4 linked regions of the Rhinolophus ferrumequinum genome follow. The protein of the gene in region 4 interacts with the protein of the main gene of each other region in a biochemical or structural test. Links are inferred from orthologs where the notes say so. Each region holds a gene or a part of one and is shown on either strand. Other genes may lie near its edges.

Region 1 (7,782 bases), on a different chromosome or scaffold from region 4:
AAAATTGTCTTTCATAAGAAGCTGACGTTAAATTATAGATTTCCTATCAAGCCCTCAATGACCTTTTATTTATGCACTATCGACATCACTATCTTGTTGTCACCTCTGCACGTTTGACCAACTCTTGGCAGTGAACTTACACAATAGATAAGATTTTTGTTCAAATAGAATATAGCTAGAATGGTGACCATATAGTGAATGGAACAAATATTTACTCAGCATTTACTGAGTGGAGGATGAAAAGCATAATTATAGAATATTCTCCCCTGCCACCATTAAAAAAAAAAAGACTTGAAAAAAGACAAGCATCCAAAACTATTATAATAGAACACAAGAAAACATAACCAAAGCAGTAAATAGAAAGGACTTATGGAAGGGATGAAGAGGAAATAAATATCAGCCTGACCTGAAGATGACCAGAAGAGCCTTGAGAGACAGTCAGACACTGAAAGACGTGCCCCATGGGACAAACTGCTAAAGCAGAAGCCCGAAAGGACAGGCGCACAGGGTCTTTAGAAGATTATCAGGAATTAGCATGCATCACTCAAACACTACAGCAAATGCATAAGGATGCTTCTTGGTAAACATGGAGAAGACAGGGCCTGGCATGGAGAGCTTAATAAACACCTGGTGTAAGAGGAATGTTAAAGAACAGATCAAACTCATTATTATTATTTTTAAAGAGCTGTAACTTTTAGAGAAAAGCAAATCACAAACACAGCAGACAGGTCCTGACAGTTGAAATCCCACCCCACTTTTTCCTTGCTCTTTCCCCTCTAAGAAAATGGTATCAACATGAGCAAGTCATTTTAACACAACACTCCTCTCTGCTTAAAGAGGCTTCATCTTTGAGATACACACTGAAAAGTGTACAGATGAAGTGATATGTCTGGAATCTACTTCAAAATAACCAAAGGAGGGTGCAGATGAAATAGGATTGGCCAAAGGTTTATCACTGTTGAGGCTGGGTGCGTGGAAGTTCTCCACACGATTTGACGTGTATGCCCGTCCAAGTACGCGGAGCAGGTACGTGCACGACAACCACCTTCTGCCGGGTATCATGACGCAGTGGCAGCTCAGTTCGAACAGTGCGTTAGTAGTTCCGTTAGACTAGTTCCCACCAACGCTGCATCCATTGGGCGCCTACTGCACTCACTGCATTTCCTAACCCAGGTCGCCACGCAGGATCTTTGCGGGCAGACGCAGAATCCTAGCAGCCTCCAGTAAGGTTCTCCACGGGGCACTGCTGGCATCTGAGGTGGCACGACTCTGTGGTGGTGGACCGCCTGATCGTACAGGACATCTAGCATCCCGCTCCCCCGGTACTAAATGCCAGCACAGCAGCACCAGCATGTCACCCCCATGGGGACAGCGACGCGCTTCACATTTCCTAATGCCACCCACTGTAGAGAACCACTCTAGTCCTGGATGGCAAATATTTTCCCAAGTGAGCTGAGTAACTTGGTGGTCCCCACAGCCTACAAGTTCAGTCTCCTGTCACTGCAACCAGCCCTACCTTTTGGGGGCTGTCCCCAACTTCCATGAGAATAGTCACCACTGGGCCAGTCTCCTGCTGAGAAAACCTGCACCTGCCAAATCCTGGGCTTCTCAGGTCACTGCAACTGCTCTCCTGCCCAGCAAAGCACGTTTTCCCAGCGGCGGGGTCTTTTCTGCCAGAGTCCTCAGCCTGAACCGCCCTTTTGGTGCCTCACGAAGTCTCCTCACCTGCACTGCCCGCCGCCTCAGAGCCTTCTCCGAGGTGCCGCCAGCCCAGCAAAATCAAAACGGGGTGCTGTCTCTGGCTTTCCCAGTGACACACAGAGCGGGGTCCCAGCTCGTCGTGTTGGCGGGTTCCCCCACCCCGCCCAGCGGAGCTCTGGGAGCAGGGGCTCCCGCCCCACCCTGCAAACGGTCTGGGAGCCTGAGGGGCTCGGGGACCGGGTCTCTGCTCAGGACAGCGCCCGACTCACGTCCTGGGGAACACACGTCTGCTCCCCCAGGTGGCATCCCTCAGTGTTCGCCGACTTCACGGGAGGGAGGCAGGGACCCTGGCCCGGCGTCACAGGCACGGAAGCCACCACCAACCCCGCTGCAGCCAGGAGCAGTCTGCAGCGCGCACCGGCCACAGAGGGGCCCCAACTTCCCGCCTCAGCCACCCCTCCGAGCCCGGGTCTCCGAGCCGCTCTGCTCCGGGAAGACTGAGCGCACGGGGTCCTTCTGGCTCGGGGACAGGAGCGCACGTTGTGGGCGGCAGCCTGTCCTCACCTGCAGGCCCTGCACCTGCGGCACCGGGCGCGCCGCAGCCCCTCACACCGTCCGGTTCGGTGTCAACTTAAAGTGCTGCGGGACAGCGCGCGGCCTGACGGACTGCCGAGGGTCGGTCCCCTTCCGCGCCGCCCGCGCGCCTCAGCGCGGCCGCCGTCCCCGTCCCTTCGCCTCCCGTCACCTCCCTCACCCCGGCGGCGACCCGGCCGCGAGGGGGCAGCGGCCCAGCCCGGGGACGCCGAGGCGGCGCCGCCGGCCCCCGAGCCTCGCGCGGCGGCGGCCTGGCGTCTTTGTCCCAGCCCGGCCCCGGCCCCGGTTCCGGCCACGGCCGGGCCCCGCCTCACCGTGATGTTGCAGTGCAGCGTGAGCGGCGGCGCCGGGGCCGGGCTGCCGGGCGGCCGCGCCAGGAACTGGCAGTGCAGCTCGTCCAGCTTCCAGCTGACGATGCGGAACCGCTCGTGGTTCTTGTGGAAGATGGACGCCAGGAACTTCAGCTCGGCTTTGAGCCCCGACACCGACATCCTGGCCTCATCTCCGGCGGCAGGGAGCCGGGCCCGCGCCGCCGTCACGGCCGGAAGATGGCGAGGCCGGGCGCCGGGGCCTTGGGGCGCAGGGACGGCGGGAGGGCAGCCGGGCAGGCGGGCGGCGACGGCCTTTGTAACCGACTCGGCCGGCTGAAGGCGGCGGCCCGCGGCTTAAAAGGGCAACCGCGACCCCGCCCGCCTCCCGCCGCCAGGAGAGGGCTGCCCGCCCCGCCCCGCCCCCCGGCGCGCCCCGCCCCCTCGCGCGCCCGCCCGCGCGCTCCCGCCAGGCACGCGCGCGCGCCCGGCGCTCGCGCCCGCGGCTCCCGCCTCCGCCACGTCGGCGCGCCGCCCGGACCCCTTAGCGGTATCGGCCGCCGGCTGCCTGCGGGCCCTGGCCGACGCCCCCTCCTCGCTCGCACGCGCGCCGTCTACCGAAGGCGACGACTGGGCCCCGTCATGTCCCACTTGCCCTTGTCCGCGGCCTCTGTTCATTCACTCTGCGTTCATTTCCTCTCAACCGCCTGAGCCTCTGGCCCGGCTTCCAGCGGGTCGTAACCCCGTCCGCGCCCACGGAGGCAGGGTTGCCAGGTTCCAGTCAAGTCCCAACTCAGATGTCATCTCAGACCCGGCCTCCCCGACCCCGCCATCCAAGACAGCCACCCACTCACCCAGTGTCCACTGTTTCCTCTGCACCTATCGCTGTCCGATATTTTTCCTATTTCTTTGCCCACTGTCTCTGCCCAACACGAAAGTCTTATTCCGGCCCAGATCCCCAAGACCTTTACTATATGACACCCAATATGACTGCATGGACGCTGCTATGGGACCCCCAACATTAACACAACCCCTGGCACATTCCAGGTGCTCCAAAATCGGGCGAAGGATGCCCAGCAGGGCAAAGGAGGACGACACTACTGGGCACCAGTTAAAGTGTGTTTAGGACCGAGTGCCAGAGGCAGGGCCCAGCTGACAAGGCTTTCTGCTGGGTTTAATGCTCTGCTGTACCATTTTGAAATGCCTCATTTTTCAACAAGTGGCTCAGCATTGTCCTTTTACACTGGTCCTGACTCCAGGTCCCTAGCCCTCCACTTCATGATGCACCGAGGGGCTCTGGTCTCCTGGTCTTTTAGCTGACAGAATGAGGATCCACTGTCACTGAGTCCACTAAATGAGGAACATTTTAAACGTTTTTATTTACTTCTGAGATGTTGTATCATGATCTTGTGCTCCGTAGCCATTCTCACAGACCCCTTTGAGAATCTCATGAAAGCTATCATCCATTTTCCCAGGAAAACACCTCAGCATATAAAGTGTACTGATGGAGATTCATGGCCCTGACACAAGAAATGCCGCCAGCAACCGGGACTGGGAGGGGAAGGGATTCCAGTCCTGAGCTCTGAGCCGAAAACAGCTGGGATACTGCCCTGGTGTCACTGGGCGCCTAAGCACAGCCGCGGTTTGCTGCTTTCTTTTGTCACCAGTCCCCACTACTCTCGGGACCCTAACAGGCACAGAAGTCACAGACAAGAATTTGAGACAAAGGGCAAGAACTTGTTCAGAATTCAGTATGACTGAGAGATAAAGTGCCCTGAACAAGTGATTTGATCTATCTACGCTTCATTTTTTTAATTTCTAAATTGCTAGGAAAAAATAAAGAGCTTTATAAATTGCAAATGCTTTCACTAGTTAGACCTCAGAAATATATATAAATATTAATTTCACAATCATTTTTGAGCATCTGCTGTGTGCCAAGCCCTAAGAGGGCTAGAGCAATAAATAGATAGAGCCCCTGAATTCAAGAAGCTTGAAGTCTAACACTGGAAACAAAACAATGTTTCCTGGTTCTTTAGGTTGCAAATAACAGAAAACTGTGACTTACAGGGCTTGGACAATAGGAAACGGATTACTTCACATGATAGGAAGTCCAGGGCAGGCTCCAGGCTCGGCTGATTAGAGCTGCAGTAACGTCATCAAGAGCCCAGATTCCTTCCACCTCCTTTTTCAGGATGACAGCAAGGTGGCTGTAGCAATTCTTGTGGGTCATATCCAGACATGATGACATCCAGAGTCAGAAAGGACTATTTCCTCCATGTCTCCTTCCAAGATATGGGCACCTTTCTAAGAATCTGCCCAACTGACTTCCCCTCTGTGACACTAACCAGAAATGTGTCACATGCCCATCTCTAAACCCATCACAGGTAAATGGATGGGACCACTTACTGGACTCCCATCACCTGGGATGGAATGGACGTTGGGAGTCAACCATAACGCCTGCTACAGACACATCATATCACATGTGATAAGAGGGTCAAACTACTGAATTACTACCTGTCAGGAGAAGAAGAAATTAATTCCAGAAATTACCATCACAAAAGTATGGCCATGTTCACATTTTTTCAGAAGTAGAACAAATAATTCTGAAATTTATATGGAACCACAAAAGAGCTCGAATAGCCACAGCAATCTTGAAAGATATCATGCTACCTGATATCAAACTATACTTTAAGGTTATAGTAATAAAAACAGCATGGCATAAAAACAGACACATAGATCAATGGGTTAGAATGGAGAGCCCAGAAATGAACCTACACCTATATGGTCATTTAATCTATGACAAAGGAGGCAAGAATATACATTGGGGTAAAGACAGTCTATTCAATAAGTGGCTCTGGGAAAACTGGGAAATACACACAAAACACTGAAACTGGACCACCTTCTGATGCCACCTATAGGCATAAACTCAAAATGGATTAAAGACTTAAATGTAAAACCAGAAACCGTAAAACTCCTCAAAGAAAATATAAACAGTAAAGTCTCTGACATTTCTCTTAGTGATATTCTTTTCTGACATATCTCCTCGCTCAAGGGAAACCAAAGAAAAAGTAAACAAATGGGACTACTTCAAACTAAAAAGTTATTGCACAGCAAAGGAAACTCAACAAAACAAAAATACAACCTACTGAGTGAGAAAAGATATTTGCCAATGATACATTTGATTAGGGGTTAATATCCAAAATTTATAAAGAACTTACACAACTCAATACCAAAAAAAAAAATTCCGAACAATCCAATTGAAAAATGGGCAGAGGACATGAAGAGGCATTTCTCTAAAGAGGACATACAGATGGCCAAAAATCACAATGAGATTCCACCTCCCTCCTGTCAGAATGGCTCATCAATAAATCAACAAATAACAAGTGCTGGCGAGGATGTGGAGACAAGGGAACCCTCGTGCACTGTTGGTGGGATTGCAGATTGGTGCAGTCACTGTGGAAAACAGTACGGAGGTTCCTCAAAAAATTAAAAACAGAACTACCTTATGAGCCGCAATTCCATTTCTGGGTATTCATCCAAAGAAATCCAAAACATTAATTTGAAAAGATATATACACCCCTATGTTTACAGCAGCGCTATTCACAATAGCCAAGATATGGAAACAACCCAAATGCCCCTCAATGGATGATTGGATAAAGAATTGTGGTACATCTTACTATCTGCAACAACATGGATGGACCTAGAGGATATTATGCTAAGTGAAGTAAGTCAGACTCAGAAAGACAAATACCGTATGATCTCACTTATATGTGGAATCTAAAGAACAGAATAAACGAGCAAACAAAACAGAAACAGACTCAGAGACACAAAGAACAAATTGATAGTTGCCAGAGGGGAGGAGGGTTGGGGAACTGGGTGAAAAAGGGGAAGAAGTACAAATCGGCAGTTATAAAAATAGTCACAGGGATGTAAAGTACAGCACAGGGAATATAGTAAATAATATTGTAATAACTATGTATGGTGCCAGGGGGGTCCTAGACTAATGGAGGGATCACTTTGTAACTTATATAAATGTCTAACCACTATGCTGTACACCTAAAACTAAAATAAAGTAATATTGAGTGTCAACTGTAATTGAAAAAAAAAAGACCACGGTTCCAATTTCCATAGAACTAATAGATCACTATTTCCAAAAAAAAAAAAAATTTAAAATGTTTCCAATAAGAGTTGCTGAAATAGCTCAGTTGGGAGAGCCTTAGGCTGAAGATAAAAATGTTTCCAATACAAAAAAAAAGTATGGCCATATTCATAGAGCATTCAAGGGTACACCAAGAAGATGATGAAGCTGAGATGCTGGAGACCTGATTTTGGAGCCCTGAGATACCATGCCAAGGACCAGTTTCATTCAGTGAGATCATCCCTTTTCAGAAGATTAATCTGGCATTAGTGTACAAAGGGGATTACAGTGAGTTTCAAACTGTAAGTGGCCACCAAGAGGCAAGAACCCCAGAGTCCAGATGGGGCACGCCGTTGATTCAATGGGGCGAGTCACATCCTGCTCTGAGGTCTGGTCCATGCCAGCAGCGAGAAACGCTGAAGTGACAGAGGGGACCGCGGGAATGGGAAAGACTACACTGGTCCTAGGGATATGTCTGAGGTAGAACCTGCTAGATCTCAGAGTCGATACCGAGATGGAGGGAGAGAGAGAGATGTCATTCTGTTTCCTGTAACATTTTACAATTTCCAGAGTAGGTGGCTGGGAGAGAGTATGCTATGGACACAAACAGAGAAAGAGGAATTTGAGGTGTTGATGGGACCCCAGAGAACTTGTGTCTGGAGGGCATAAGGGAAGTCAGAGCAAAGGACATATCATTGTGCATCAGCGACGTGGAGTGATGGTGGAAGGGTGGTGAAGCCATCCATGGGTGTGGCTATGACCACTGAGTGACAGGCAAGGGAAGACCATTTGGACTACTGAAGGGACCCGAAGAGGCTCACGTTGGCAGTTTAATGGGAAACGATGCATTGGAGCAGATGATGACCCGTGTGTCGCATTATTGGCGGAAAGGACCAGAAAGATCAGGACCAAGAAAAAGCCATGGGCTTCAGGGCTGACGTCAATGGGGTCTTGGAGGAAACCATGGCCATGGGATGCTGGCCCTGGGGTGGAAGTGAAGGCTTCACAGTGATGAGAAAGAGAAGTGCAGCGGTCACCTGC
Region 2 (7,503 bases), on a different chromosome or scaffold from region 4:
CTTTTGTAAGCGCCTGCCCTCCCCACCCTGTCTGTAAGTGTTGGTCCAGCGTGTCGCAGGCTTCAGTCGCAGGTGGAGGCCGAGGTTCAAGCTGTGTTCTTGTCCTTCGCCAGCCCAACAGCCCGACGGCATCGTAGTCCAGAGCCAGACTCTGTTGGAGTGTCTGGTCCTTCAGAGTCCCCATCAGTCTGAGTAGCTATGTGCAGGCGACGTGCTACCACCTTCTTGAGGGACTCTGCTGCTGCTAAGACAGTGGTTGGCTCTGTGAGGATTCCTCGGGGGCTTGCACTGTGGGGGCTAGAAAGCTCTCCTCCCGCCTGTCACTCTGGCTCCCGCCCACGTGGTGTCTGGGGCACCCGCCAGCCCAGACGGTACTTCTCTGCATTTCTGAGAACATTTCTGGGAAACATTACTGCCCGGTTGGTCTCTGTACAAACTGGTAGCAGCTTCCTTCAGTTTCGTGAATAGACAGTCATCAGGTAGACATCTGTGCCCGTGCTGTCAGAAAGCGAAGGTGGGGAGCTTTTGCCCCATGTAGGGCCTGGTCATGACAGGGAGGGGCCGGGCGGGGGGGCAGCAGTGGCCCCTCCCAGCGGGTCCTTTGCTCATTGGCTTTGCTTTGGAACCCGCAGGCACCGCCCACTGCCCTGGTTATGAAGAGGCCCCGCTCACTGGATGTTCCTTATTGGAATCTTTGTCTAATTTTCAGGAAGAATTTGAGATACTTGTTCATTTTTTAATGAGGCTTAGTTTTCCTTGCTATCAGTTAAAGTCGGCTTTGAATATTCTTTTGTGAATTTCGTTAGGGGAAGCTTGGAGAGTAAGTGGCTTATAGGAAATTCTGGACAAAGCCTTTTCCCTGCTTGTGACCCGGGGAGGAGGCCACGGAGCATAGGTGTGATCGGGCAGTGTTGACCAGTGCGGGGGGTGGTGTGCATTAGTGAGGGGGACTGCAGTGGGCACGGTGTTCAGAGCAGTGTCCGTACCTCTGATGGAGTGACAACTAACAGCTTCCCCCTCTCTTGCTGTGCCTGTCCCGTCGACCCTGCCAGCTGGAGATGGAGGACGAAGACACCATTGACGTGTTCCAGCAGCAGACGGGAGGCTCCTGGAAGACTGGCTGCTGCGCAGGATGCGGCCTCTAGAGGGACCGGCCCCACTTTGTCACCGTCCTTGTTTGCTGTTGAATAGTGAATACGTGACCATGCGAATCACAAAGGAGTCTGCGGAAACCGAGGACCTCCACCAAAATTCCTTTCCTCTGCGACGTCCCGCGGGTGCAACTCAGAACTGTCTGCAGGGACACACCCTCGCCTAATACCTGGCCAGGCAGTTGTCATTTTGTTTAGGAAAATGAGCGTGAGTTTTTTGGGTTTGTTTTTGCTCTCATTTTTGTTTCCCCCCCACCTCCTATGACATTTCCCCAAGCTTGTGGCCTGAAGGTCCACTGTTAGTCTAGACGGGGATCTTTTCCCAGGTATTGACCCCCCCACCCCGCCACTGCTTATTCCAGTCACATAGAGGGCTCACGTCACTGCAGTGGGGGTGCTTCTGTGGGACAAGTCGGGGGGCATGGTGGGGGTGGGAGACAAACTTCCACTTAACTATTTCTTGTAGGCACAGGTTTTTTTAAATGCCAAATGTTACAAATTTAAGTTTTGTGAGAATATGGTAGAGTTGAAGGGAGAATATTGGAATGTTTTCTAAAAGGTAAAAAGGAAAATAAGTGAGTCCCTCAGTAACATGGCCCTGGGTGCTCTGTTCCACCAGAGTCCCCTCGGGTGAGGGTGGGTGCAGTGGCCGTGACACTGCATGGGCGAAGCCTGGCACAGCGAAATGGGCTTTTCCCCTTTTACTACAGAGGAAAGCAGTCCCCACATTTCTCACTTGGTGATAGTACGCTCAGATTTCTTCTGGTATTTGCTTCTGATGAATAATTATGGTCTTGATATAAAAAAGTACGATTAAGTATTGCTGAATTTGCAGTGACGTTTTGTGTAAAAGCTGTTTCCAAGTGTGGTCACACGGCCTGTGCAGAGACAACTTCCTGTCCCTCTCGAGGGCTGTGCTCTGCTGCTTCCCAAACCGTAGCTGTGACTTCAGTCTGTGAAACGTTTGGGGATCTGTACCTGTTAAAACTTTTAGTTCCCCTCCTCCCTCTGTACGGACCCACTGCTGCCTGGTGGCCCTGCTCTGCCTCGTTCTGTCACCTGGACAGTGCGACCATGACTGTCATCTCTTGCTTGCCCGGAATCTTGCCTTTCCTTTGTGTTTTGCTGTTGGGGTGTGGGTGGGGTGTCTGCTGGCCATGTTAATTCACCAGTTTGTACATTCTTTGTTGTCCTTTACTACTGTAAACAGTAAATATAGTTTGGTATTCTGTCTCTTGTATTAAATACTGCATTTGGAGGTTGGGGCTGACTGTCACAATTCAGCATTTGTAGTGACCATTCAGCGAGGCCACCCAGACTTCCATTTAAAGGCTAGTTGCTGAAAAGTAAGTATCCACCTGCTGCACCCCTCCCCACACCCCTGCTGGGCTGGGGCCGAGGGGGCCATCCTGTCTCCTCCCGAAGCTCTTCCGTGACAGGTGAGCCAAACGGGCATTGGGATGCATTGGGATGCATTGTGATGGACTTTTCCTCTCCTGGGTGTCTCCTCGGTGTCTCGTGAAGAGAGGGTGGGTTTTATTTATTTATTTATTTTTAATTTTACCGGGGAATATTGGGGAACAGTGTGTTTCTCCAGGGCCCATCAGCTCCAAGTAGTTGTGCTTCAATTAGTTGTGGAGGGCGCAGCTCAGCTCCGAGTCCAGTTGCTGTTTTCAATCTCTAGTTGCAGGGGGTGCAGCCCACCATCCCATGTGGGAATGGAACCCGCAACCCTGTTCAGAGCTCGCGCTCCTGTGCTCTAACCAACTGAGCCATCCGGTCGCCCCAGAGGGTGGGTTTTGGAGGCAGTGGATCTGGACATCAGGCTGGGTGGCTCACGTTGTTGGGTACTTGACTGTCAGACTTCTATTTTCCTCTGTGCGGTTGACAAGCTACTCTTTGAAATTGAGTGAACTGATGCTAAGTTGACAGAGGACTTCCAGTGGACTCTGCTGTGACAAAACCAGGGGTGAAAGGGAGTGAGCTGTTTTAGTCCATCAGGTGAGGGTCAAGAGTAGCTGGGAAAAAGTGCGCTCTAGCCAGGCTTACACCAGCAAAAGGAGGTGGGCTGAAGCACATTACAGGGGTGAGTCATTTGCAGGTGCCCTGGAAAAGCTGGGGGCGGGTACATCTCACAGAGGGGCCCCTGCATTTGTGCCTTCAGTGGAGTGAGCAGTGCTGAGCTGCAGGTGCGACAGTGCAGTGCTGCCTGAAGTCCCCCACACCTGACCGGAGAAGGAAGCTGTCCTTGAGGTTGTCTTTTCTCTTAAAATTTATGCAAATGGTGCATTTGGAATAACAGCTCTCAGTATTAATATTTTAAAAATGGTAAGTTACACATCTAAATCCCAAGATCTTTGGGTTAAATTCATGCTTCAGGAGGAGATAGCTGTATTTATCCTGTTAACTGGTTTCCAGATCCCAGCTGGCACTGCCCCATGTCAGCACTGAAAACCCCACCGTCGTCCTGCATAAACTTACAGGTGGCGAAGCATATTAATGCTCCACCTTAAAACACGGGTTCAGCCGTGACATACTTTTTATATTTCAGAACTTTAATTGCCAAAATACAAAAGACTAATTTTTTTCTAACTTGCTGGCCTCCCCAAGGTGCGATGCTTAGGGAGCCATGAGACATCACCTGTTACTCAGAACCCTGTCATCCTCGGCAGGCAGCGGGCTGGCTGCGGCTCGGGTCTCCAGTGGGGGCCAAGTCTTGGGCACCCCGAGTCCCGGCTGGGCCGCGATGACGCGGAATAACGCCACCACCGTCACCAACCTTCTCTTTCCAAACCTAACCCCTGTCCCCTGTCGGGAGGTAGTCGGGGCATCGATGTGTGGATGTCTTCGGAGCCGGTCTCCTTCGCCCCTGGGCCTGGCGTCAGTAACCTGCCCCTAGGGCAGGGGTGCCGGCGAGCGCGCCCGCCCGTCGCGCCCACGTGCAGTGGCCGCTTCAGCGACTGCAGCCGCCTCCTTCTCTACCCCTCCTCCTGGGGTCTCTAAAAAACACCCCACCAGAATGACGTCTGCCCAGCCCGCAGTCCATCGCCCAGCCACCGGTCCCGTCCTCCATCGGACCCTCCTGCGGCCAGTGTGACGGGACAGTGTGCGCCTGTCGCCCAGGATCTTCTGGGGAAACCAGGGCCCCGCAGGTATAAGGGCCGCCGGAAGCGGCGTTGACCCCACAAAGCGGCTGAGGGGCCGGGCGTCACCCCCGCTCACCCGACCTCGGGGCCACAGCGGCCCCGCCGCGCCCCCGACAGCGCCCGCCCGCCGGCCCGCCACTGCGCACGCGCGCGCCGCGCCCCGGAAGGGCTTCTGCGTCCGGCCGGCGACCCGGAAGCAACCCGGGCTTCGGGCGGGAGGATACGAGCGCTTCGGAGGCAAGGCCGGACCGCACAGCTGTTACCCCGACGATGGCGGGGACGGCGCTCAAGAGGCTGATGGCCGAGTACAAACGTGAGTTCCGGGCCGGCGCGGAGCCCTGGGCGGCGCCGTGCCTCCTCCCGGCCCCTCGTGCCGCCCTGGCTCGGCCTCCCTGGCCCCGGCCCCGGCCCTGGGCCCCCGTCCCCGGCCGCTGCTCCGAGAGGCCCTGGGCGCGCGGGCCGGGGGCGCTGCGGGCCGCCTCTGGGCGGTGTGCGGGCCCCGGGGTCGGACTCCTCGCCGCACGGAGCGTGCCCCTTTGTGCACGGGAGGAGCGAGCGCGTCTTGTGGCGGTAACTTGGGAGCCGCAGGGTCTCCGGGCTGCGCCTCCTCTCCCGGTGTCGGTACGTGGTGCGGAGAGCGCTCGGGAGGGGCGAGGCCACGTTCCTGCCGCCTTGGTTTAGAAATGCGTCAGGAGTGACGTCCAGTGTCCGTTTGTTCCTTAGTTCTGGCTTTGGCCCTTTCGGTAATGGAGAGAACTCCCTGCTTCCAGCGTGCGGGGAGGGGGCAGCGAAGCCGAAAGTGCCCGCGAGAACTTAAAGGGCCGGTTTAGGGGAGAAGCGCGTTGTGGTGAGTTCGCGGTGAAAGGTCGCGTTCTGGTTTTCTCGCCTAAGGAGCGGAGCGTTTGGACGGTGCCACCCCCGTCCTCCTAGGCAGTGCTCAGCAAAGCGCCTTAGTGCTTCCCGAGCCGTCCCTCTGTCCAGCCCGCGGAATGCTCCCGGGACAGTTGCCGTGACCCGCCCGGGGGTGCCATTCTGAGCTGGGGGCCCGAGTGGCAGCCCGCTCCTGGGTGACAGCAGGGCCTGCGTGTGCTTCCCGGCTCTCCCACCTTGGCTCGCCCCTTCGCCTCTGCGCGTCCCTCACCTGGAGACGCGAACGCCTCACGACAGACCTCATAGGTAGCTCTTGATCATGTTCGATGTTGTTGTTGTAGTTACATTGCACGTACCTTCGGAAGAAAGTTGAAAATAATGACTTAATGAAAATAATTGATACATATGCATGCAGCTCAGTTTCCTAAACCATGTTGGTGGCACTGCGTGGGGAGAGGTGATTAGCAAACTGTCGCAGATGCAGGCGCAATAAAATAATTTGGACAATACTCTCCACGTTGGGCCCTCTGGAGTAGGAACAGATGCTTCCGGGAGACTTGAGAGTGAGGGGACACGGGGGTGAGGTGGGGGCTGTGGCCTCTGTCTCCTGGGAGTCCTTCGGTTCCCTGCCACCCTGCTCTGTGCTTCTGTGTCTGGCTTAGTCTGTTTGGCCTTGTTTCTAGACCACGAGTGAGTATTATCTTTCTTGTTTCTGTGGAGAAGGAATCTGTTAAGCCCCTTCACGGGAATGAAGTTCCGGCTGCTGCTTCAGTCCAGTCGTTGTTTTGTTGAACTTGTATTTCCTCAGGATATTTGCATTGGCCAGGGCGATTTTTCTCTTCACTCAAAGCTTCATCCATTATTTCAACCATGTTGTCAGTTTGCAGTAATGGAATGTATATAATATTTGACTTTCAAAGCTGTATCACAGAAGTGTATTATGTGTGCGTGTTAATATGTGGCACGTGGGAGCCTGTGCCGGCAGAAGTGTACACATGTCCCGAGATCCCTGTCCCCGCTTACGCAGTGGGACACCAGCCTAGGCTCTGCTGAGAGGGGACTTTGCAGCTGTAACTGGCTTACTAACGACCTGACTTTAAGACAGGACGATTATCGTGGATTATCAGGGTGCAACCCAGTAATCGCACGAGGCCCCAACACAGAAGGGGAAGGCAGGAGAGGAGAGGCGGGAGAGGAGGTCCTGAGGAGGGGAACTGGGAAGAGGGGCCAGGAGCTCAGGAAGGTGGAACCTGAGAATGAATGGTCCCTGGCCGAGCAGCCAGGAACCTGGACCTCATCCTACAGCCGTGGGAACCAAATTCCCCAACACCCGGAATGGGTTTGGGGGGCCGCCCTGCCAACACCTTGACTGCTGCCTTGTGAGACTAAGCAGAGAACCTTCCTGCCCAGCCTCTGACACAGGAAGCGCGTCGTGGGGGGTTGCTGTAAGCCACTGAGTGTGTGGTGAGTTGTCCTGTGAGCGATAGGAAGTGAAGTCTGTTGTTGAGGGGTGTTGTTGTTGCTGTGTCTTAGTAACGTGGTCATGTTCCACTGACTGATTCTTGTCTTTTGTGTCTTAGCGTCTAGTTCGTCCTCCTACCAGTCTGCAAGGTGGCACACCCACACAATCAGCTGCCCTGTGGCAGGGGCTTAGATAGGCTTGGCCAGGGTCAGGGCCAGGCGTGCTGTCCGTCCGTCACCGTCGCAGGAGTGCAGTCGACCTTGGCTATGATTCTGCCCAGGCCCCCGCTTTTACAGGAAGTTGAACACTGGAGAGGCAAAATGATTTGCTTCGGTTCTTAACACGAGAAAAGGAGCCAGGTAAAGAACGCAGTGTTTTAAACGGATGCCTTGTTTAGATGTTTGTCTTCACTCCTCCCCTGGCCTTTCCCAGGACGGCAGAGGTAGACTTGGGTTTGAGTGTCCGGGGCTGCCCTAACAAAGTGCACCAGGGGGTGTCTTAACACGACAGACACGTGTTCTCTCACAGTTCTGGGGCCGGAAGTCCCACATCAAGGTGTCAGGAGGGCCGCTCTCCCTCTGAAGGCCCTGGGGAAAGGCCCTTCTCGCCTTTCTGGCTTCCGGTGGCTGCCACCATCCTTGGCATTCCTTGGCTTGTGGTGGTGTCACTCCGGTCTCTGCCTCTGTCTTCACGTGGCATCTTCCCTCCTATAAAAGTGCCGGTCAGTGAATTAGGGCCACCCTAGTCCAGTGTGACCTCATTGGAACTTGAGTTCGTCATCAGGCCCCCATTTCCAGATGAGGTCACTGTCACAGATTCTGGCGGACATTAATGAACCCAGTGCAGTAGGAACCCCAAACTCACGTGTATAAAA
Region 3 (7,007 bases), about 49 Mb from region 4:
AGTGCTTTGTTTGGTAGTGTAAGCTCTTGGGAACATTTTCCTCTTACTTCAAGTGTGTGAAGTTAAATCAAAATACCTTTAAGAGTTCTGTTTCTTAAGATTTCATCTCTGTAACTAGAGCTTGGCTATTCCAGAAACTTCTATTACAAATGGTTTACAAGGAAACAGCAAAAGTAGTTTTGAGGCTGTTGAGTTATGTAATACATGGAAACAGCAAAATCAACTATGCCACTTGTCCATAATCAGTCTTTTCCAGTAAATTCCCTAACTGTAAGTGACGGATATTAACAAATCATCAAAATATTTTTGTAGCCCCAGTCAGTGACACCTAGCCCCAGTCTAGACACCTGAGGAAGCATCCTTGGATAGCAGACTGCTCAACAGAATGAATCAGAAAAGGCTACTGTCATTGAGCTTGAGTAATTCCTTTCAGTAATGCCAGGATGGAGATACACATCATTAAAAACAGAGCCTGTAATGTCAGGAGGGAAGATCCAGGTAGGTAATGGATTCCATAAGTACCTTTTCAATTCATACCACTTAAAACAAGAGAAGCACCCTTGAAATATTTAAGTAGCTAACTTCCAGCAAAATGATACACTATTAATAAAGCTATGCCCAGCATAAAGCAGTTTGAGCAAAATCAGGAGGAAAAAAAAAAAAGGCAACGAAAACAAAGCCTGCTAAAGCTAAAGCAAATATACAGTTAATCTGCACATAAAGTTTAGGTAGGAAGAACTAGCACCAATCCAGCAGAGGAAAATTAAGTCTTGCTTTGGATAATTTCAAATGATTTACTGCACCAAAGTACTGCGCCTTTAGTATCCCTCTCTCCTGCTGTCACTTATTTTTATTGCAGCGCTGAAGAACAGTGATATTTACCCAGGGGATGAAAGCAGACAGGAAGTTAAAAGTATTCAGGTGACTGTCTGCAGTCTCCTAGGGAAATCTGAGCATTTGAGACAAATTATAGAATTGGTTGATATTGACCTACCTCACATCTTGTGAATTGGTAGCATCAAAAAGCAATCCAACTCGGCAACATAAGTATGACTTCGTAGTTTGCAGAAATGTTTTTGTTCCCACCTTCAAACTGACTTATGTGCGTGTGTGTGTGTATACACACAAATATATATACAACACACATATATATGTATATATATATTATATACACACACAAACACACACACACACACACACACATGCTACATGACCAAAGGAAGATAAATCATTGTGAGAAAAAAAGCAACAGAAAGATCCTTTTCTTTTTTTAAATACCTCAATATTAAAGATGTCAATCAGTAGTTCAAATATTTTTAATCATATTTTAAATGGATTAAATGTTCAATAATCAACTACACACACAATTGAGTGCACATAAAACTAGCAATGTCAACTTCCTGATTGTGATATTGTAGTATAGTGATTCAAGATATTACCAAAAGAGGGGATGGGGCAAGTGGGTGAAGGGCATACAGTCTCTATTTATTACAACTACAAATGGATCTATAATTATCTGGAATACAAAGTTTTTAAAAAGCAATTAATATGTGTTTTTAAAAGTCAAACCAAAATCCATTAAAAATTATGTGGCTGTAAGTACATGTAGTCCCTTCAAGTAGGGTGGACACCAGCTGAAAGTCCATTAAGGCTACCGTCAATACTGAAGATTGAGATTACTGAGCATAAAGTCTTAATTGAGGCACTCAAATTCTAACTAGATGGTCTCTGGGGTCTCTGAGTCTATCAGCAAGTGGTTGGGGTGATATGTACTCAGTATCTTGAAGGGGGGCTGAATTTGGCAGGATCACAGCCCAGACCTCAAAAGTCCTTAATATCAGTGCTATGATGCTCCTTTTAAAAAGTGATTGCCTTACCCAGACTTTTTTTTAAAGAAGCAAGCAAGACAAAAGTTGCAGTTCTAGTCAAGCGGACAATAGCTTGCCACATACTGCCACAACCTGCCACATACTAGATTCCACTCAAGCCTTTAGTAGGCAGAAGCTAGGGAGAAGCAGGTTCCTAAGTAGAAGGCACTTCCAGGATGACTAGGAACCCTTTCACCAGATGATCAGGCTCCTGAAAGGTGGGTAAAGAAACTCTCTTACCATCCTCAAACGGGGTCCCTTCGGGCCTGCAACAGAGAGAAAAACAGTCAGTTCCGGCTTAAGGGGTTCCCTTCTCCCTGGTTCATTTTAGGAGATGGCTATTCCAGGCTCTGTCAAGCTCCGCCAACTCCATCTCTGGTAAAGCACCGTTTCCTGGGTCGGAAAGCCACCACAAATAGATGTTTCCGGCTCAGAAACCTGGTGCAGGCCGCCGCTTCTAACCGCCACCACTCCCCGCCCCGCCCCCCTGAGAACCCCAAACGGTTCCCCTGGCAGCGGGAACTGAGCTAATCGAGGCACAGGCTCCGGGGAGGAGCCTAGGCCCGGCCAGACCCTAATACTGTCCCCTTCCCTCTCCGCCTTCGCCAGGGGCCGGTCCCGTAGGGCAGACAGAGCCACCTTGAGTTCCCCATCTCTCGCCACCGCCCGGAACAGAGACTCACCCAAAAATGACCGCGTTCCACACCATTATGTTGTTCTCGGACGGAGCCCCGCTGACTCCGGCTGGAGGATCCTCCTGCAACCTTCAGAGAAACAGACAGCGGCCCCACGATCCGGCAGCCGCGACCGCTCCGGGCAGCCCCCTTCCCCTGGCCCGCCTCGGGACCCGCCCTGCGCCCCGCTGCCGGCCCTGGACGCCGCGGTCCCTGTCAGTTACCTCTTGAAGTCTCTCATGAGGCGCCGCCGAGCCGGGGTAGACATATCTCGAGCGGGGTCAGGGCTGGAGCATACACCGAGTTCTCGGGTGCCCGCGGAGGGTAAGGAGGCCGAGGACGCTGGAGAAGCCGAAGTAGCCGGGGAGGAAGCGCCTAGAGGCACAGCACTACCCCTTAGAAGTCGAGGGTCGGTCTGGCGCCGGCTAAGCACCACCCCGGAGTAGACCCGGGCTGAACCAACCTGGAAGGAACGGGGGGTGGAATGCCTAACGCCGGACAGACGGTACCAAGACGGGCGGAGGGTGGGGTGGTAAGGAAACCTGCTTAGGCCATTAAACCCCCGCCGAAGCCCGACGGTGGCTGAGAGGCAGGCGGCGAGGCCAATTCCCCAGGATTGGGTGGTGGAATGGGCTCCATCCCCACCTGCCAAATCTAGCACGAACCCTGGGAAGCTTTCCTCGGCTTTCTTTTTGTATCTCCTCCTCCTCCTCCTCCTCCTCCTCCTCCTCCTCCTCCTCCTCCTCCTCCTCCTCCTCCTCCTCCTCCTGCTCCTCCTCCTCCTCCTCCTCCTCCTCCTTTCTTTTTTTTCTTTCCTTTTTTTTTTTTTTTAAGACTAGATCACTTAAAGTGCGCCCTGTGGCTTGGGGGAGAAGGATGGACATCCCAAACTAGAGAAGCGGGGAGTGGGCTGAAGCAAAGCTGTTCTCAAAAAGCGGGAACTGTAGGGTGCACATCCCCTGAGTACACAGGAGACTGGGGACGGGTTGTGTATGACCTGTTATAAAATCACTGAAAAATCAAAAAAATAAATCGGCCTCAACTATGAAAGGAGGCAGTGGGTCCCTTTTCCTGTGCGAGATTCGAGTCCCAACATTTAGGCCCATGATCACCCCAAAGCAGAATAAAATGGTGGTGTGTGTCCTGAGGGAGAGAGTGAGAGTTTAAGCAAGAATGAGGTTATAGCTCTGGACACTCACAATTTGGTTCTGGAACCACATTTCTCCTTGGCAGTTCAACAAGCTGAGAGGCTGCTATATATTCAGAAGGGTCCAATGTCTGAGAATGTCCAACTGCAGAGAAGTGGAAGGGCAGTGGATCTGAAGTAAAAGTAACGGGAAGATGTGTGTGAAAAAGGTGGAGGTGGCAGGGAAGAGTCACAAGATGCGGACCTGCAAGAGCAATAACAGTTTTAAAGAATAATTTTTAAGGTCAACCCCAAATAACTCAGAAGGTAGGCAAAATGCTCATGTAAGAATTTTTGAAAATATGAGAAAGGTAGATTTCGCTTAAGTCCTGGAGAATTTTGGATGCCAAGCTGATGGATTTCTTGGAAGGTGGGTGAGCAGAGAAGTGACATGATTAGGGCTGTACTAGTCAGACATTGGTCCCAGGAGAGCAGCTAGGAGAGAGACTGAAATTATTCTAGGTGAGAGATATGGAATCAGGCAATGACAATAAAAATGGAGATGAGGGGATGAATGGAGAGGACTTGGCAACAGATTAAATGTGGGGGTCACACAGAGGAAGGAGTCGACAATGGCTGTAGTTCTAAGCTGTAAGGTTTAAAGGTGCCAAACTGGAGGTTTAAAGGTGCCAGTAACAGAACTAGAGGGACGGGGCAGTTTTAGGAGAGGAAATCTGGGGCCTTACTGAGTTCATAGGACTGATGAGACATCCATGTAGAGATGTCCAGAAGACATCAGAGGTGCAGAAATTTGTTTGTAACATGGGAGGCAGGAGACACTTGACACTGGTTGTAATTCTAGCTGCTGCTTAACAACACGTACCTTCATGGCCAAGGATTTATATCTCCCATTAAATTCAACATATCAGTTAAAGTAAGTCTCCCTAATAGTCTCACATTATAGCTGTGGTGGGAAGACGGTACAGAAATAAGTTTTAAAAACCTTTTCCTCTCATTTAGGAGCTTGCACAAATACACACATATGAAATCAACAAAAGCAAGATCTACAAAAGCAGATGCATTTGTTTTCTATTGCTGCTTAACAAACTATCACAAGTTGTTGGCCAAGTTCAGTTCTTCCCAATTATAGTACTAAGGTCCCCATTTCCTCACTGGCTGCCAGTCAGGGACCATTCTCAGCTCCTGGACATCTTCCACATTCCTTGCCATGTAGCCTATTCCATCTTCAAAGCCAGCAGCAGAGAATTTCTCTCCCATCAAATCCCTTTCATGCTTTGAATCTCTTCAGGAAGTGCCCAGTTCTAAGGGCTTATCTGATTAGATCAGGCCCACCCCAGATAATGTCCTGTCTTAAAATCATGTAATTTGGGACCTTAATTACATCTGCAAAATTCCCTCACAGCAGAACCTAGATTAGTGTCTGCTTGAATAACTGGAAGAAGGTGTGTGTACATCAGTATCCAGGAATCTTGAGGGAGGGGATGGCATTTTAGAATTCTGCCTACCAGAGCAGCAGCAAGCTACATAGCAGAAGCATGTGAACCCGCAAATGTTGAGGTACTGTACAGCAGGCGACTCATCAATTTGGTGGGGTTAGAATAAGCTTCCTAGAATGGGTCTATTTCAATTTTGTTTCAAAAGAGATGGAAGCAGGGCTTGGGAGAGAAGAACTCAAGCAGTTTCTGTGAGGGCAACAGCATGAACAAGGACATGGAGCTAAACCATGTTCTGGGGATAGTGGGCAGATTAACGTGGCTAATGGAGAATGATGAGACCTCCACTAGGAAAAGTGAGGGTGACAGAAGTTGATTAAATATCCTCAAATGCAAGGATGAGGAATTTAGGCTTGATAGGTAGCTTTTGTCAGTGTTTGAGCCTAAGAGAGATGTGCTGAAAACATCCTACTGAGAAGGGGAGTAGGAAAGACACTGGGAAGCTCTTGCCACTGGATATAAATATCTGAGTCATCAAATGCTACAGATGCATTTCAATTTGTTGCGGGCTTGTCTGTTTTCTGAAGCTCCTTTGCTCTTCCCTCTTGGGACTATCTAATCAAGAAAAGTCAGGAGCATGAACCAAAGCAGTTTGGAAGCCCCATGGTACCAGGGCATGGGGAGAGCACCCTGACTGCACAGTGGAACTGCATTACAGGAATACTGTGCTCCTACATTCTTCATCAGAAGCAGGGTTGTCATAGCAAACAGCAACACAGAAGATTGTTCTCCAGCACAGACAATTTATCAGACTAGAACATAGTAACTATAGCAGAGTTGGCCAAGCAGTCCTTCCAGCCCCTTCTCAACTTGACATCTTAAACAAATAACATCTTCACGGCCAAGCATCCCCTCTTCCCCAAGAGCAGGGGTCAAGAAACTGGAAGTTCTTTTTAGCTTAAACTGTGTTAGCAATGCAGCTGCAGGGAAGATAAAAAATTCCAAATTGTCAGTAGGCGAAGATTTGAGAATTTTCCTAAAAGGGAGGAAATATGGGAATATATGACTAGGGAAATTGTGGGATTTCAAAATGTGGAATAGATTGTGATTTTCCTGAACTATTTTGGGTTGGAAGGAGAGACCAGATAAACGATCATTTCCTGCCTCATGAGGCTGTGAGTTTTTATTTCTGTTAGCCAGTCAAGGAAAGGAATTTTATTTTCCTATAGTTTCCACTTCTATTGATAAAATTTAGCACAAATGACAACCAAGAAACAACAGAAAATAGGTTTTTCTTGACTCAAATAATCTCAGGAGACAAGTCAAGAGGATCACATAGGAAAGAACAGTTATCACAGTGTGTGCTTTTGGCAATAAAAGTAGTAGTATGCTGTCCATCTATATAGCTCCTAGGACATAAGGACAGGAAGGGAGAGAAAGAGGAGAGAGAGGGGGAAGGAAAGAGAAAAAGAGAGAAGGGAAGGAAAAGAAGGAGAGGAGAGAGAAATAGTGAAGCTTAGAGAAATGGGGAAATTAAGGTGTGAACATAGGATTTCACTACCTGCTGAATAGTTGAATCAAGAGGAAAAAAGGCTGAATAATGCCCCCCAACCCAAGACCTCCATGTCCTAATCTCTGGGACCTGTGAATATGTTACCTTATATAGCAAAAGAAACTTTGCAGATGTGGTTAAATTAAGAATTTTGAGATGGGGAGGTTATCTAGAATTAAATGAGAGGGAAGGAAGAGTCCGAATTCAGGGAGAAGGCCATGTGATGGTGGTAGCAGAGATTGGAGTGATACAGCCACCAGCTGAGGAACCAAGGGATGTGGGCAGCCTCTAGAAACTGGAAGAGACAAAGAATGGATTCTCCACTGGATCCTC
Region 4 (6,906 bases):
GCTGAGCCCAAGGCCGGAACAAAACCTTGGGCCCTACCCCCAGGAACCCGGATGCAGGCAGACCGCGCCCATTCATGAATCATGAATGTTGATCCCCGCATGTCAGGGACTCATTTGAAGAGGAATAGCTCCACCTGGTGGCTACTATGGCACTAACTAGGAAAACCAGGAAAGCAGAGGAACGTGAATAATGAATATATTGCTGCAGCCAGGCTGCCATGGAAACCAAGAAGGGACCTCAAGCCCACACTTCCTGATCATGAATTATGTATATGCCCAGGTGGTTGGTTGACCAACACTCTGCGACCAGAAAGCCAACATGGAAGCCACGCCCCACTGTCATGAATAATGAATGATCTTGCAGCAGCCCGGAAGCCAAGGAGACCAAGGCTACATCTCTTATGAATAATGCATGAGGCCCCGTGGGCTGGAACAAAAGGGGCAGGCCCACCTATTACAGCATCTAATACTCTGTAACCTGGGAAATAGGGCTACTACAGAAAAAATACCCTACCCGGTTCATGAATAATGAGTAACAATGTTGCAGCAGCTCAACCTGGAAACTCAGAGAGGTCAAGAAAGGTCCCACCCACTCATTATGAATTATGCATGAGACTGGATGGACAGCCCTCCCAGCAAGTAGGGATTAGGGTAATCCAGCCCTGGCAACATGGGCAAGCCTTCCTGTACATGAATAATAAAAGCCGATGCTGCAGAGCCATGGCGGAAACCCAGGGGAAGTGTAGCAGCCGCCTCCCCACCCCTGACTAACTGCACGTGAAATAGGGCTGCCTTGTTCCAACCAAATCCAGACGCACTACATGCCTCTGGCAAGTGCCTCAATTTCCATGACTGTAAAATGGGGATAGCAAGAGAACCCATCTACCTCATAAGGCAATATATTATCAAAATCAGAGAATATGAATTATGGATGAGCTCAGTGTAGTGCTGGCACAGGGCACTGTTAAATTTTAAAATATATATATGTGTATATTACTATAAAGGTAATATGTAAATATATTAATATAAAATTAGTTGTGTGTGAGCGTATTCGCAACCACTAGAGAAGCCCCCCAACTTGGGGCATTATTTAAAAAATAATGCCTTCAAACACCCTCCCAGAAGGACACTGGAAAACAGAAAGCTCAGGCCACCAATATCCATTAAATAGGTAGGACTGACTGCCAGATGAACCCCAAGCACCGAATACATTTCTGTCGAATAATAATAGATCCCATTAACAGATGTGGTGTCTCCTTTCCCGGCATTGTGCCACTGATCTCAGGAATGCAGAGCAGGAAATCGATTTCTTCTTGTCCTTCTTCTTGTCCTTCGGGTCTCAGCTCAAAGGTGACCTCCTTAGAGAGTTCTTAAACCCTCACAAAAATCACTTCCACCTACCGATGACTAGCGCTGTGACCTGGGGCCAGACATTTCACTTCTCTGGGCCACTGCTTCCCCACCCATAAAATGAGAATAGTAACCTACCTGATGATGGATTTTAAATGAATAAATATGTAGAAAGGGCTTAGAACCGTGCCTGGCACATAGTTCTATTTAACTAACAGTGGTAGTACCATTAAATTAGGGGGTACAGACTCTGGAACTAGACTGGCTAGGTTTGAATGCAGGCTCGGCCACTCACTGACTGGGAGTAGGCAAATTACTTACCCTCCCGGTGTCCCAGTTTCCTCATCTATAAAATAGGATAATAACAACTTACCTCCTAGGATTGTTGTGGGGATTAAATGTGCTAATAAAGTGCTAAATTAGTGTAAATTAATCTGATCGTCATCATGCCCATGCCCACTTTTCAGGCTCACGGAAAGATTTGACAAAGATCACACGGCTTGGAAAGAAGACGATTTGAATCTAGATCCTTTGTTGATAATCTGAGATTACTGAGCTTTAAGAAATGAACCATGCACGAGGTTTAAACCCTGGAGCCTACAAGGCAAAGCTAACAGTGTATCATGCAGATGAATCCATAAAAGCTACGCCCCTCATGAATTATGCACAACGCCCCTAGAGAAGCCACTGACAACTTGGGTGCTACTCACCTTTACGATTAATCAATGAGGTCTAGTTTGCCCGGCAAACTGTAGAACGCCCCTTCAGCACGCTGATCCGCCCCATCGTGAATAATTCACAAGCCGATACTTCCAGCGGACCAGGTGCGAAAGAGGCAAAAAAATGGGCTTCCTCATAGCCCCACCTCCTCATGAATAATGAAGAAAGCCGCGGCCAACGAAGGCCGGGTGGCACCCAGTACCCTCGGGAAGCGCGTAGCAAGCTGTGCTCCGGCGTCCCTTCCACAGCCTGGGCTGGGGGCTCCTCTCCTAACAACTTGTGGGCTCTGACCGGTCCAGTCTCCCCGCCCCGAGTAATCAAGCACGGGGGGGGGGGGAACCGCATCATATAAGCAGAGGTCACAAAGGCCACAGATACCTTCACAATGCCACGTCGGTCCTGAACGTTCCTACCGTGGTCAGGACCTCTCCTGAAAACAAGCCCTCTCAAAATTCCGCCTTGACTTCAGGGACCTCAAACTTCGCCTCTCCCCTTGGGAAGCACCCCAAATCCTGCCTCATGGACAGAGTACTCATTCATGGACCATAAGGGTCTCCCCAAACATCCCCCTAAACCCTGTCTCCGAGGGGTATATAAACCTTGTCTCCAAGGGATATTTCCTACAACAGATTCCCACATCCCTCCCCGGAGTCCCCAAAAGCCACTTCCTAAGGGTCCCTCAAAAACAGCCACCCCTAAAAGCCATCCCGGGCCCAGAGCCTCCAAATATGCCCATTGGGGGATCCCCGAAACTGAGCCCCCTCCCTCAAATTCTGTCCAGGGGCTTGGGGGGCACCGTGCTCCAGCTCACCCCCTGCGCCGGGCGGAAGCCTCGCCTTCCTGCTGGAGATGAGCCGAAGCCACGGGGCAACGGAAGAGCAAACCACCTCCGTCGCACAAGAAGAGCCAGAGTTTGCGCGGAGCTCGGAAGCGCGGGGACTTGGAGGGCCCCGGTTTGGGACGTACCACAAACGCTTAGCTAGAGGGGCGCCCGCCCCTGCTCCCGCGCCTTCGGCAGAACGTGTCAGACCCAGACACCCCTACGGGTTGTGGTCCTTCCTGAAAGCGCGAGGCATGCTGGGGGTGGTAGTCCGATCTGGCCCCCGGCTGGTGCACGTGGTGGGCATCAGCGGCCAGGGTATGGGAAAATGTAAACCTGGGCTGTGGAATTCCGGGAGCGGTGCTCTGGGAGTGAGAAAAGGGAGCGGAACACTGGGGTACCTCCAAATGGAAAGACACACCCATCCTCCAGATGGGAAGGCTGAGGCTCAGATGGCCAAAGGAGTTCATTCATTTGACATTTATGGAGCTCAAGCGGTAGGTCAGGCGCTGGGGATGCTTTCTTGCCTTCACGGAGCTGACATTCTAGCAAGAGAGACAGACCATAAACATAACACATAAGTAAAAATTATAGCTTCGCATATAAATATGTATTAAAATAGATACATGTGACTATATAATATATATTATGTAATACAATGTACATATAAATACTACATAGTTTACATAACATGATAGCTAGTGTCAATATGTAAATAATTTACATCTGTATATAATAAATGTCTTACATTTAATACATCGTGTATATTCTATATTTGCATGTGAATATATAACTAAATATATATGCAAATGTGTGTTGTATATATAATTCCTAAATGCTATGGAGAAAAATAGAACAAGGTAAGCAGAAATTTGGGGGACAGTGGGGTCAAGGAAGATGTCACGCGGGGTGTCATGCGGAGTCTCTGGTCCCGCTCCCCACATATGAACACAGGACCCGGTGAGGCCAGAAAGGAAAACCCACGGAGCCATAGATAGGGGAGTCATACCACTATAGTCTCACTGGAGGCTGGATTCACACGACGTGCGCTTTTCTGCCAACCGACCGACTCCCCATTTGCTAGCTGCAATCCGCCTCTGCAATCCGCAATCCACACTCCGCCGCTTGGTAGCTCAGCCACCATCTTCTTGCTAGGCCCTATTTTTCTGCTAGCGTAGCCACGGCAGTTATATTAGTGGCCAATGGCTCACTGGTTACAGCTGACGGCCAACTAGCCACAGCTGATGGCCATCCAATCACAGTTGATGGCCATTTACTACCTGAGCCAGCACCTTTCCACGTGAGGCCGAGAGCCTGGAAACTGCACTCCTGGCTCTGTCCCCACAGAAGGCCTCGCTGAGAAGATGTTTGAGCGAAGGTGTTTAACACAAAATGCCTTTAACATCTTATCCCAAATTCTGTACCTCATATCTTGTCAACAACCTCCAAATTTGTTCATTTGAAAAAGATTTATTGAATGCCTACTGTGGGGACAGAGTCCCAGAGAGCAGAAGGCTCTCGACCTCATATGGAAAGATGCTGGCTCAGGTAATAGATGGCCATCAGCTGTGACTAGTTGGTCATCAGCTGTAACCAGTTAGCCATTAGCTACTAATATAACTGCCTTGGCTACGCTAGCAAGAGGGGTTGGTTGGTTGGCAGAGAAGCGGACGGCGGATTGAGGCTGGCAAGTGGGGTTAGCAAGCGTGGTGGATAAGAGGATTGCAGATCGTGTGGGTCCTACTTCCTGCATCTCACTTGGCTGCCATTGAGACTGGGGTGCAGGAAGACCCCCTTGGGGTACTGGCAGATGTTTGCTTTTGTGTCTCGACCAGCTGCCATCGAGAATATAGTGATGTGACTCCCTTATCTGTGGCTCTGTTGTTCCTTTTTGGCCTCACCGTATCCTGCATTCTTGTGTGGGGAGTGGGAGCTGAGACCCTCCATGACACTTACTAAGTGCAGAGCACTGGGGACACTGCAGAGAACATAACAAGGAGACTGCCCTTGCAATAGTCAAGACCTCTCTTCCATCAGATCTTTTCCTTATTTATCGTTTGCCTCATCTCAGAGAGACCTGCCCTAATACCTGTGGGGACAGAGTCCCAGAGAGCAGTTTCCAGGCTCTCGGTGTCACGTAGAAAGGTGCTGGCTTGGGTAGTAGATGGCCGTCAGCTGTGGCTAATTGGCCGTCAGCTGTAACCAGTTAGCCAATTAGCCACTGATATAACTGCCACGGCTGCATTGGTGAGTTGAGTCAGTCGGTTGGCAGGCAGAAAAGCGGACAGCAGGTTGCAGGTCGTGTGGATCCAGCCTCCAGTGAGACTATAGCGGTATGACTCCCCTATCTATGGCTCCATGGGTGTTCCTTTTTGGCCTCACCATGTCCTGCGTTCTTATGTGGGGAGCGGGTCTAGAGACCCCGCAGGCCACCTCACACGACAAATGGTGCAGCGAGCAGGGTCTCCCGCACGACATACCCCATGTAAAGTAGTCAGGGAATGCCTCTCAGAGGTGGCATGTGAAAAGTGAGGAAGTGAACCACAAGGAACATGGGGAAAAGCATTCCGGATAGAGGAGACATCCAGTGCAAAGCCTTGAGCTTGGAAGTTCTTAGCATGTTTGAGGAAGTGCGTGGAAGTCTTTGTAGCTGGAAAGCAGTGAGGGAGGGAGAGTGCTGTGAGATGAGATCCTAGGCCATGTCAAATAGGGCATTGCAAGCCAGGCTGAAATGTTTTTTATTCTAAGATCCATAGGAGCCATAAAAAGATTTTAAGCAGGAGAGTCACATTATATAAATTAGATTATATTTTATTTATTTTTTTAACAGGATTTTATTGGTGAACAGTGTGTACTTCCAGGACTTTTTCCAAGTCAAGTTGCCATCCCTTCAGTCTTCGTTGTGGAGGGTACAGCTCAGTTCCAGGTCCAGTTGCTGTTGTTAGTTGCAGGGGGTGCAGCCCACCATCCTTGCAGGAGTCGAGGAGTCGAACTGGCAACCTTGTGGTTGAGGGCACCCTGGCCTATATGGGAATCGAACCAGCAGCCTTCAGAGTTAGGAGCACGGAGCTCCAACTGCCCGAGCCACCGGGGCCGGCCCCCTATAAATTATATTTTAGAATAAACAATCTGGCTGCTCTGTGTGGTGAGAGAACAAACTGTAAGGGGAAAGGGAGAAGCAGAAAACTCAGTGTAAAGGCTACTGCAAGAGTCAAGGAAGTGATGAGAGAGGATCAGACCAAGGTGGTAAAAGTGGAAGTGGTGAAGTGGTGAGGAAGGATTAGATCTTGGATTGATTTTGAAGGTAAAGATGCCAGGATTTGCGAAGGGGTCAGATACAGGGAGATACAGAGAGTCTTGGCTGACCCCCGGGTTTTTAGTCTGAGCAGCTGGAAGGATGGAGTTGTCATCAGCTGACAAGGGAACTACTCCATTAGGAGCAGGTGTGGAGCAAGATCAGGAGTTTGTTTTTAGATGTTACATTTGAGATGTCTGTTAGACATCCAAGGTCTGGTATGTGTCCGTTGGGTGAACAGTTGGGGACCAGGTCTGAAATTCAGGGGCTGGAGGGAAATCTGGGCTGGAGATATGAAGACCATTAGGGGTGACAACTGAAGCCATGTGTGTGGCCAAGTCCTTCTTTGAAGAATTGATTGGCTTCAAATGGATCAGTGGGAGTAATTGAGGCAGGATTTGGACTTTCCCAAGTGAGAGGGAAAGGCATTCCAGTGGGAGGGAATAGCTTGAGCAAAAGCATGTGGAGAAAGTAGGGGGGGACAGTGGGGGCCGCAATAGTTGTACCATTTCACATTGCCTCCAGCAGGAAAGTGCCTTTGGATGTTTGCCAATCCTGTGTAATTATAATTTGCATTTTCTTCCTGGGAGTGAACTTAAACATCCCTTCATAAATTTAAAGGTATTTGCAGTTCTTTTCTGGGAATTCATGTCCTTTATGCATTTTCTATTGGATGGTTGTACTTAATAGATTTTTAAGGAACTGTTTATTAGCCTTGTTT

The links.
Region 1: of the proteins of UBA1 (region 4) and UBE2Q2, one has a biochemical effect on the other in vitro, tested with the Homo sapiens proteins (3 studies listed by BioGRID). The link is inferred for Rhinolophus ferrumequinum from reciprocal best matches to the Homo sapiens genes UBA1 and UBE2Q2.
Region 2: of the proteins of UBA1 (region 4) and UBE2G2, one has a biochemical effect on the other in vitro, tested with the Homo sapiens proteins (5 studies listed by BioGRID, with this or other methods). The link is inferred for Rhinolophus ferrumequinum from reciprocal best matches to the Homo sapiens genes UBA1 and UBE2G2.
Region 3: of the proteins of UBA1 (region 4) and UBE2A, one has a biochemical effect on the other in vitro, tested with the Homo sapiens proteins (6 studies listed by BioGRID, with this or other methods). The link is inferred for Rhinolophus ferrumequinum from reciprocal best matches to the Homo sapiens genes UBA1 and UBE2A.

What each region holds. Positions count from the first base shown.
Region 1 is NC_046311.1:492,292-500,073, forward strand, and holds the start of UBE2Q2 (ubiquitin-conjugating enzyme E2 Q2), read right to left. Parts: upstream 3,015-7,782; 5' UTR 2,787-3,014; coding exon 2,610-2,786; intron 1-2,609.
Region 2 is NC_046285.1:107,865,895-107,873,397, reverse strand, and holds the start of UBE2G2 (ubiquitin-conjugating enzyme E2 G2), read left to right. Parts: upstream 1-4,486; 5' UTR 4,487-4,567; coding exon 4,568-4,610; intron 4,611-7,503. Other genes in the region: SUMO3 (small ubiquitin-related modifier 3), read left to right, coding at 1,053-1,145. UniProt on the Homo sapiens protein: Accepts ubiquitin from the E1 complex and catalyzes its covalent attachment to other proteins. In vitro catalyzes 'Lys-48'-linked polyubiquitination. Involved in endoplasmic reticulum-associated degradation (ERAD).
Region 3 is NC_046284.1:37,347,833-37,354,839, forward strand, and holds the start of UBE2A (ubiquitin-conjugating enzyme E2 A), read right to left. Parts: upstream 3,014-7,007; 5' UTR 2,811-3,013; coding exon 2,767-2,810; intron 2,633-2,766; coding exon 2,552-2,632; intron 2,135-2,551; coding exon 2,109-2,134; intron 1-2,108. UniProt on the Homo sapiens protein: E2 ubiquitin-conjugating enzyme that accepts ubiquitin from the ubiquitin-activating enzyme E1 and transfers it to a E3 ubiquitin-protein ligase. In vitro catalyzes 'Lys-11', as well as 'Lys-48'-linked polyubiquitination.
Region 4 is NC_046284.1:86,707,907-86,714,812, forward strand, and holds the start of UBA1 (ubiquitin-like modifier-activating enzyme 1), read right to left. Parts: upstream 3,022-6,906; 5' UTR 2,882-3,021; intron 5-2,881; exon of another isoform or gene 1-4. UniProt on the Homo sapiens protein: Catalyzes the first step in ubiquitin conjugation to mark cellular proteins for degradation through the ubiquitin-proteasome system.